Tribolium castaneum: one gene and its partner. The protein of the gene in region 1 purifies or fractionates together with the protein of each later gene. This does not show direct contact. Links are inferred from orthologs where the notes say so. Each region holds a gene or a part of one and is shown in the gene's direction. Other genes may lie near its edges.

Region 1 (5,052 bases):
TAACAAGAATATATTTATTTGTAATAATACAATGAAAATAAAAAATTAGCGTCGTGTTAATTGGAGTACGACCCCCTTATCGACCATTTTCCCGACAAGTCTTGCCGTATTCCTGGCATCATGCAATCCGCAATGTTCAGTCCCTTCAAAAGTCAGTCCTAGTTCGGCCAAAGCGCCAGAAAGTCCAATAAACGGGCGTCTGATGTAGCGCTTGAACAGTGCTCTAATATCAATCCATTTGCGGTACATTTTCTCAATTCTAATATTCTTCCGGATGCACTCCTTTCGGAGACAGGTCCCCAAATCCCAGTCCGACCAAGTGGCAAAAGCGCACGTTTTTGCCGCCTGACTTTCGCCGTTTGGGAAATCCATGTCATATAATCTCATTTTTTCGGCAACCCAACGCGAAAACAGAAGCAAACAAGCTTGAAGGGGGACCCCGTTATCAACTTGGTGTTGCTGTATTCCTGTAAAAAATCATCAGTGGGGCTTGGGGCACAATGTTTTTTACCTGTGAGCTCGGTACAAAAGTCGCTCAATTTGGGATTCTCGACTGGCATTACGTATTGCTGGAACTCTGCGATTATTTTAGCGTTTTTTACGTCGTAAAGAACGACCGGAAATTCGATTATTTCGGCCGGATTTTTTCTCGGGTCGCCGTTACTCCAGCAAGTGGCTTCAAAGTCAAGGACGAGGAGGTAGTCAAAAGGCTGGGGAGTCGTGGCCTTAGCGGTTGAATAAATTACTTCTAAAGCACCCAGTTTTCTGAAATTGCAATAATAAGCTTATCTTTAATTTAATTATAATTTTTCTCACCGGGCCAACTCTCGAGTGCTCATTTTACTAAAATATTTCACATGTAAGGTACAAAAAACTTAATCTAAAAGTGGAGCACTTGGTCAAAGAAAGTCTCACATAACCTCAATAAACAAAATAAAGAAAATAGCAGAAATACAGGTGATATGGCATTAGTACGCCTCGATGGTACCGCTTTTTAAGTTACAAAACCCTTTAGCGGAAAACATGGACAACACAAATTGTGTCTTAATTAACTGAATAAAAAATGTATTTTGAATTTGCCGCCATTTTTTTTCCACCAAGTCACAAAAACTAAGGTGATTCCACTCCCCAATAATTTTTTTATCTAATACAGTTATCAGCGCAAATTAAAGGCTCGCACTTTTTCTGAGCATTTTATTTAAATACTGTCGATTGCATACAAAATAGACCTAAAGATAAGGCGTTATCTACGAATATCCAACCTTTCCAGAAACATTTTTTGTGCGTTAGGAGCGCCTCCTGGCGTTTGTCACTCCTGTCGGCCCGGCAGACCTGTCAAAAATCAATTTTGTGATTTGTTGATTTTTGGATTTTCAACACTAAAGTTCCACATAATCGAAAGACGAAACGTATACGATTTTTAAACCACCCTCAACCAAATCACCCCACACTCAAACCACCCATATTTTGTGTCACCATCAAGTATGGCTTTATCTCTAACGTGTAAAAAGTTACTCAGGTTATCCGTCTCCAGCAGATACTTTTTCAGACCATGCTCTTCAGCCTGCCCGGAAAAAGTAGGTTTTATCATTAGAAGCAATGCAATTGAGTGATTTGCGTTCGTTTCGTTTTAGAAAGGCTTAGTCTTGGGCGTGTACAGTGATGATGAATGTGAAGGGTTGGAGCTAACCCCCGCTGCTGAAAAGTACAACCAGAAGTGTCAAGGCAGGCTTTTAGAACAAATTAAACTGTAAGTAGCGTCATAGCGTTTTTATTGCATTAGAGGACAAGTCCAAGCGGAATTAAACATTACATAATGTGAAAACATGGGAGTAATTAATGAAACTTGGCACAAAATAGAAAGCTTTATCGTTTTTTATACACGTAGCGATTATTTTATTGTCTTGGCCCTTTTCGTGCAAATTGAAAAACCTGACCTGAAACTTGATCCCGTCAGTTTAACCAATCCAGTAGTATTGAGTGTTTTCAAGTAACAATTTAGGCGATTTCTGTCCCCGTTTCAGGTTTTCGGGTCAGGAACCGTCCGAATTGTCGCTCCTCAATACTACTCCAGTTCTTGTTTCAGGTCGATGTTTTTCTCTTAACTACCTCTAAGTCGTCAAAATGGCTTCAAGCCGCGACGGTCGTAGTAGTTCCGCCTCTTCGCACAGTAGTTCGAACGTGCCGACAAATCGCTCGTCGATTCGCACCCCAAAGCGTCAGCGTTCGACAGCCGGGGGCGGCTCCTTCGAGGAGAAAACGACCGATTTTTCCTGCCCCGTCTGCTTCAACCTGATCGAGGAGGCTTACATTACGAAATGTGGCCACACGTTCTGCTACACCTGCATTTTAAAATCGATCGAAGCCCTCAAACGCTGCCCCAAATGCAACGCCCCGGTCACCGGCGAAGACATGATCTTCCCGAACTTCCTCCTCAACGAACTGATCAGAAAGCACAAGACTCGCTTGAACAACTTCGAGGCTTTGGGCTTGAACCGCGACAGTTCGGGGGAGTTCGGGACGTCGGCCGACGGTTTACGGGATTTTGTGGCAACGGAATCGCAGAATTTAACGTTGCCGGACGTTAACGTAATGTTGGAGGTTCTGACGCAACGGAAGCAACTCCTGGAGGCGGAGTCGTGTGCCGCGCAAAACCGCCTCCTTTTGGAGTTTTTGAAGCACTTGCTTAAGCAAAAGAAGGAGCGGCAGGCGCAGATTATCAAGGAGATTGCGATTATTGAGCATGACATTGAGGAGGTTTACAATAAGTTGAAGGAGGTGCATAGCAAGTGCCCGACTTTGGAGGATGTGGAGCGGACGGTGGCGTCGGCGGCGGACAATGCCGATGTCAGTGCGATGAAGAAGGAAATGATCGATTTGATTGATACTATAGGTAGTTCGACTGGTCGCAAAGATGACACGACGAATCCCGACGCCCCGCTTCGGCTAGGTTCGACCTCGCTGGCGATGCGCCGGCGGCGGATGCACGCCCACTTTGACGACTTCGTCGACTGTTACTTCACCTCACGCTCCAAAGACTTGTTCTTCGGCAAAGACGGGGTCGATAAGACTAAGACTACTATTAATACGGGTCTCGACGAATTCCGGGAGAATTTGATCAAATTCTCGCGCTATAACTCGCTCCGGGTCCTCGCAACGTTGAACTACTCGAGTGATTTGTTCAACAATTCGACCATAGTCTCGAGTATCGAATTCGATAAGGATAACGAGTTCCTGGCGATTGCTGGAGTGACGAAAAAGATCAAAGTTTTCGATTACGGTGCTGTGATTAAGGATACGGTCGATATACACTATCCCTGTATTGAAATGCTCTCCAAGTCGAAAATCTCGTGCGTGAGTTGGAACACGTACCATAAGAGTATTCTGGCGAGTAGTGATTACGAAGGGACTGTGACGATTTGGGACGCTTCGACCGGTCAGCGCACCAAGACCTACCAAGAGCATGAGAAGCGCTGTTGGAGTGTTGATTTCAATGAGGTTGATACTCGGTTGATCGCCTCGGGTTCGGACGATGCGCGCGTTAAGTTATACTCGCTCAACGGTGAGCACTCGATCGCGACTCTCGAAGCCAAAGCGAACGTTTGTTGTGTTAAGTTCAATCCGAGGAGTTCTTGTCACTTAGCGTTCGGTAGCGCTGATCATTGTGTTCATTACTACGACTTGAGGAACATGAAGGAGGCGGTGGCCGTGTTCAAGGGCCACAAGAAGGCAGTGAGTTACGTCAAGTTTCTCAATAGTGAGGATATCGTGTCGGCGTCGACCGACTCGCAGCTTAAATTGTGGAATGTTAATACTCCGTATTGCCTTCGGTCGTTTGTCGGACACATTAACGAGAAGAATTTTATCGGATTGGCGACGGACGGCGATTATGTCGCCTGCGGCTCGGAGAATAACGCCATGTATATTTATTACAAAGGCTTGAGTAAAAAGTTGTTTAGTTATAAGTTTGAAGCGATTCAAGGGGTCTTGGATCAGGAAAGGCGGGAGGATGATATGAACGAATTCGTTTCGGCTGTTTGCTGGAAGCAGAATTCGAATGTTGTCGTTGCGGCGAACAGTCAAGGGATTATTAATATTTTGGAACTGGTTTAGGTGATAGTCTAGCACGGCATTAGGACAATCAACTGTTCTTGGCATATCCCGGATTGTAAATTTCGTTACAGGATGTGCACAGGAAAAATCGGTTTAATAACTAAAACTTGGATGGGGGACTATTTTATTTTTTACGTACAGGGGGCGAAAATATTTACTGTTTTTATAGCGTTACTATCTCGAAACTTAATAGTCGCACAGAGATCAGCGTCCGCTATTAAATCCCTTATTTTTATCTCTATGCATGTGAATTTTTTCATAATTTTTATATCCTTCGTTATTGAAATTTTTAGTTTTTTTTTACGGATTTTTTGTACAAAAAAATATTTAAGCAACTTTTCTTTTAAAATGAGAAATTTTATTCTTTGCAGCGACTTAATTAATTTTAATTATCAGGAATTGTAGATACGTATAATATGTATTTGGAATAATAGTAAATATTTTCATTAAGTACTGCCTGTATAAATAGGGAGTACCGTGCCTGCAGTAAAATTTGTGACTAAAAAATGTTCGAGTCTGTTGGTTAATTGAAGGCATGGTGGCTTAGTCCCGAAATTTATTGGTGTTACCGCTTATAATTTCCTATAACAATTTTGGAAATAGCAAGGCTATTTTATTAAAAATCGAAACACGAGAAATAGCTGCCGTATTTGTCTATTGCTTCGAGAATTGGGGTAGGAATTGAAGTGTTCCCTCTAGTGAGTGCCCTTGTTTCGTAGCGCCGCTCTCAACAAATATCATTCTCCCAGCAAAAAAGTCTCCACCTCATAATGCCCAAGTGTGCCAAATTTCAGAGTTACATACGCACAATTTAGCGAATAGTATAATACGTGTGAGACAAAACCAGTCGTAGTTCGATGTACACAAGACTTCACAAGTATAAAACCAAAAAAAAAATTGCTCATTAAATTATAGCGTAAGTATTTTTAGCAATATATG
Region 2 (5,173 bases), on another chromosome or scaffold:
GGTTTAAATCACGCCTTTTTCGACCTACTATCTGTAAAAACAGTACTGGAATTATTTTGCCAACACTGTGATGTGACGGAATTATTTGGTCCAACATTGTCGGAAATGGAAAAAATAATTGAAGAAATTGCTCAAAAACGAAACAGTATTTATTGAAAAAATTAATATTTGGACTTATTAAAACATTCAACCGTGCCTTTGGCAACTAAATCATTGATATTATTGTCACTGTACCCTAACCCTTTCAAAACATCCCACGTATGTTCCCCACAGTTGGGGGCCGCTTTCAACCCACTCGCTTCTCCAGGCGTTCTACTTAAAACCGGGGCAGGTTTGGGGATTATATCATCCCCCATCCTCGCAAAACACCCCCTTTCTTTATTATGTGGGTGCTCTGGAGCCTCCTCAAGCGTTAAAACTGGGGCTACACAAGCATCAGCTTTGTCAAAAATCCGGCACCACTCTTCCTGCGTCTTCTCTTTAAATTTTCGCGCGAATAAAACTTTCAACTTTTCGTAATCGTCAAATTGTGGCGCTTCATCGTAACTCAAACCCAAACCTTGTAACAATTTTTCGTAGAATTGTGGTTCTAGTGCCCCCACTGAGACAAATTTCCCGTCTTTTGTCTCATAAACCTCATAAAAATGACTACCCGAGTCCAGCTGATTACTTCCACGTTCGTTCCCCCAAATCGGGAGTTTCTGAGAACGAAACAACCAGCTCCCTAAGTAGGCCGTCCCTTCGACCATACTGCTATCTATAACTTGCCCCAAACCGGACGAATGACGCTCGTGAAGCGCTAAGAGAATCCCCAAAGCGCACATCAGCCCCCCGCCTCCGAAATCAGCGGCCAGATTCACAGGAAAAATTGGTTTTTGGCCCTTTCGCCCAAAAAGTGATAATAGCCCTGATAACGCCAAGTAGTTTATATCGTGACCCGCCCTCGCGCTATACAACCCGGTCTGGCCCCAGCCCGTCAACCGGGCATAAATCAAGCGCGGGTTTTCCTTCATGAGGGTCTCAGGACCTAACCCCAACCTCTCCATTACTCCTTTTCTAAACGGCTCAATCAGGACATCGCTGGTTTTGGCCAATTTTCTCACAATCTTCGCTCCGTTTGGGTCCTTCAAGTTCAAGGCTATTGATTTTTTGCCATTACCCAAACAGTCAAGGTCTATGTTAGCCCCAACCTAGAGGATCTCGAATTAAGCTTTGAAACATTACAAATTGGGGTACCTTGTCTATACGTAAAACAGAAGCCCCAAAATCGGACAAGACCATACCACAAAAGGGGGCTGGGGCCAATCCGGCCAACTCTAGCACCCTGATGCCTCGCAAAGCCATCAGAAACGAATGTTTTCATACGCATAATGCAAATCATGCTGGACTTTACTCCAAGCAAAAATTTTAAAATTTTTTGCTTGTTTGGTAATTTTTAACGTTCAATTAGCCTCACAACTTTAATTATTGCACTTGACTTGGAAAAAATCGATTCAAAAAAAATCATAAAACAAAAAAAAATTGACAGTAATGCCACAAAGAGGCTTGAAAATATTTTTATGGCTCTACCTAAACTATTGGAACATTATATTTGATGAAAACCCGCTTATTTAATCACGATTAAAAAATGAAAATTTTAAAAACTGCAGTGGTCCAAGAGCTTCATCAAGCAATGCTGCCAACAGATATTTATATTGCAAAATTCTTATTCATTTGTGGGCAAAATACAACTTAATTAAAAAGTTACAGAATTATTTTTATTCAATTGTGACTGTATTATTACTATTATTATTATTTATTGCTGATTTCACTGCTGCAGCTGTTATTCTAAAAAATTGTCACGTGACGCGCTTTGACATATCAAAATGAGCTAACCTAGAAATCCTCATATCAAAATAATGGAAAAATCGCCGATTTGCAGCACCGAATATGTATTCAAACGTAAGAAGATCGCCCCTCAAAACATCGTAATACGTCTGAAAAATCGCGAGACGTTTTCGTACCGAAAACCGGGGACTCACTTCCACACCGCTCGCCAATTCTACCAATGTATTTTCCCCAATTTTACTGTGATAAACGTGGAAAAGCCCCCTTGTTTTTTACGAAAATTCAGTCCCGATGGTAAATATTTCATTGCGTTTTCGTCGGATCAAACGTCGCTGGAAGTCTACACTTACAGAGGGCCGGCAGCGGCGGCCGACCTATTCAACAAAACTGAGAACTGTGATGCCGAAAAACGGTCAGAGATTAGTAGTAAAATTTTTGATAGGATTTTCAAGGTACGCTAATCACGGAACAAAATTTGTTTTTACTTTTAATGCTTTTAGTTAAAATATGTGGTACATGTGACCCAAGGCTCTGAGGAACTTAATCGCGAGTGTAGCCTTTTCAGTGATGACGGCAGATACGTGATAATCGGTTCAGCGGCGTTCATACCGGAAGAGATACGGCCACACTTTTATGAAATTTATACAAATAACGAATCGGTCACGCCTAACCCGCGTTCCCCTTTGGAAAATTACACTCTTCATTTGGTTGACCTCCATCAAGGAAAACTGTGTGATTCGAGGCAATTTAAAGTCGACAAAATTTTCCTGTCGCATAACCAAGGCCTCTATTTATACAAGGACATACTCGCTGTGCTCTCAGTCCAACACCAAGTGATCCACATTTTCCAAATCCTGGACGGAATGTTCGTAAATGTCCGAAAAATCGGCCGATTTTGCTTCGAGGATGACTCGTATTTCTACGACTTGGCGTATTCGAACGAGAGGGCCTTCAGGGACGTGAGCATAAACTCGCTAAAGCACCGATTGCTAACGTTTTTGTACAAAAGAGCAGTAACCATAAGTAAAAGAGACAACAGTCCCCTAGAAATCCGCAAATTTTTCCACCATTTCAGCAACTACAACGCACTGAAACTGTGGAAAATGCAGCTTTTGGATGAGAACCACTTGTTGATTAAGTACGCGAGCGAGGACGTCGTCACGTTAAAGTGCACCGACGCGAACACCCAGCCGTCCTTCTTCATAGTTTACAACATGAAGGAGAGCAAAATTTTGGCAATTTATGAAAACACATCGACTGATTTGTTGCACTTGTTTGAGAATTTCTGTGATTCGTTTAGGAACGCGTGCGTTAACTGCGAGACGCAGTTTACTTGTAGCCCCTCTAATAACATTTACGCCAGGATTTTGCAACAAAGGTACCAAGTGCGGGTTTGAAGGGCCCTTGTCACAACTGAGGTTTCAGGTTCAAACAAACCATAGTCAGTGCAAAATACGGTGGCGAAACGGAAGCCACTAAAAGACTCCTAGCTCAGTTACCAATAAGTGCCCAATCTTACAGCAGTTCGCCTTATCTGGACTTGTCGTTGTTCAGTTATGACGACAAATGGGTGTCGGTGATGGAACGGCCAAAGACATGCGGGGAGTATCCGATAAGGTAACAAAACTATTACTTACCCACTTCTCACGTTGAATCAACACTTTCTACGCCCGATTGAGGCAAAAAACGCGTTTTAACTAGTTTAACACTGTTTTCACCACACGGAAAAATTTTTGAACAACTGACACACATTGACATTTGTGACAATGCTGCCAACCCATGTTCGTGAAGATTTATTTTGAGCTGTTTTGATTGTTTTTGGGCAATGTTTCGTAAATTGCAAAAGAAAACTTAGCTGTTTTACATAATTTTGCTTGGTCTTAGGGTTTTGGTATTAAATACATTTCAATTTTTCATGATGTTGGCTAAGCTGAAGTGTTTTACACAGGCCCGGACTTGTTTTTTTCAGGTTCTACGGCCGCGACTCGGGGTTTTTAAAATTCCAGATTTTTGCCGGCGGCACAAGGCTGATGTACCCCTCAGCTCGAAGACTGGTGGCGTTCACTTTCCACCCCACGGACCCTTTTGCCATTTCGGTGCAACGAACAAACGCCAATTACGTTGTAAATTTTCACGTAAGACAAGACGCAGCATATGCTAATAATAATTTTTACGAAGATTGTAATTTTGTACTATGAGATTTATTGTTGTGATAAAATAAAGTTTATTGTTGAGAAATTATTACAATGAGTATGTTCAATGCTGGGACCATTTGATGGTCTTTAGGTCAATCCCTTCCTGAATCATTTCCCACAAGGGGCTCATTTCGCGCAATCGGGTCACGTGTTGGATGCACTTTTTTGCAGTGTAGTCCACCTCTTCCATTGTGGTGAAGCGACCAAACCCAAACCTGCAAAAAAGTTAGATTAAATCAAAACAAATGTACGAAAAACCTGATTGAACTGTGAGCCAGGTCTTCATCAGTCCCTATGGCTCTCAAAACATATGACGGCTCCAAAGAGGCTGAAGTGCAAGCTGATCCGCTAGACAGCGCCACGTCCTTCAATGCCATCAGGAGTGATTCCCCTACAGGTACTCATCAGACAAATGACTAAATTTATAAGTGTAATACCTTCAACAAAAGCAAAAGACAGGTTGACGCACCCCGGATACGTCTCGACAGGGTCTCCATTCCTAACCACGTGACTCAAAGCGCCGAAAATCGTATCAATTAACCTCTTGCTCAACTTTTCCATCCAAGCGTGGTCGTACGGCATCTCCCTCTCACTAATAGCGCAAGCTTCACCTATTCCTACAGCTAAGGGCGTTGGAACGGTGCCACTTCTGATGCCCCGTTCTTGGCCCCCGCCACTCTGCACCGGTTCAACTCGAACTCTAGGCCGTCGCCTCACGTATAGAGCCCCAACACCTGCAAGTTAATGCAGGACAATAATGTTTAGACCATGGTTTAAACCATTAGGCAGAGTTTTTTGCCAAACCTGACCGAAAACTTACTAAGCTCATAACAAAAATTACATTTGATCCATTTCTGAGGGTTACAAAAGTAACCCTTCTACCCCACACTGAAGAGATTTACATAAGGTCTGGCAACATTTTGAGCTCTTATCTATTATATTTTATTTATTTATTTTATATTTTGAGGTTTACCTTTAGGGCCGTATATTTTGTGCCCACTAATCGACATTAAATCGATGTTCATGCTGTTAACATCGAGTGGGATTTTGCCAACGGCTTGGGCCGCATCTGTGTGAAAGAAGACTTTCTTCTGTTTACAAAGTCGCCCAATCTCGGCAATTGGTTGTTTGACTCCTATTTCGTTATTCAC

The links.
Region 2: the proteins of E3 ubiquitin-protein ligase COP1 (region 1) and abo purify together in Homo sapiens (affinity purification with western blotting; 11 studies listed by BioGRID and IntAct, counting the BioPlex papers as one, with this or other methods). This does not show direct contact. The link is inferred for Tribolium castaneum from reciprocal best matches to the Homo sapiens genes COP1 and DET1.

What each region holds. Positions count from the first base shown.
Region 1 is NC_087397.1:2,836,799-2,841,850, forward strand, and holds the start of E3 ubiquitin-protein ligase COP1, read left to right. Parts: upstream 1-1,577; intron 1,578-1,634; coding exon of another isoform or gene 1,635-1,750; intron 1,751-2,086; 5' UTR 2,087-2,124; coding exon 2,125-4,113; 3' UTR 4,114-5,052. UniProt on the Homo sapiens protein: E3 ubiquitin-protein ligase that mediates ubiquitination and subsequent proteasomal degradation of target proteins.
Region 2 is NC_087398.1:5,177,004-5,182,176, forward strand, and holds abo (DET1 homolog), read left to right. Parts: upstream 1-1,702; 5' UTR 1,703-1,898; coding exon 1,899-2,279; intron 2,280-2,327; coding exon 2,328-3,205; intron 3,206-3,252; coding exon 3,253-3,444; intron 3,445-3,796; coding exon 3,797-4,025; 3' UTR 4,026-4,068; downstream 4,069-5,173. Other genes in the region: 2-oxoglutarate and iron-dependent oxygenase JMJD4, read left to right, coding at 1-156; Amacr (alpha-methylacyl-CoA racemase), read right to left, coding at 162-1,190, 1,237-1,344; Nfs1 (cysteine desulfurase, mitochondrial), read right to left, coding at 4,084-4,237, 4,281-4,413, 4,460-4,756, 4,996-5,173. UniProt on the Homo sapiens protein: Component of the E3 ubiquitin ligase DCX DET1-COP1 complex, which is required for ubiquitination and subsequent degradation of target proteins. The complex is involved in JUN ubiquitination and degradation.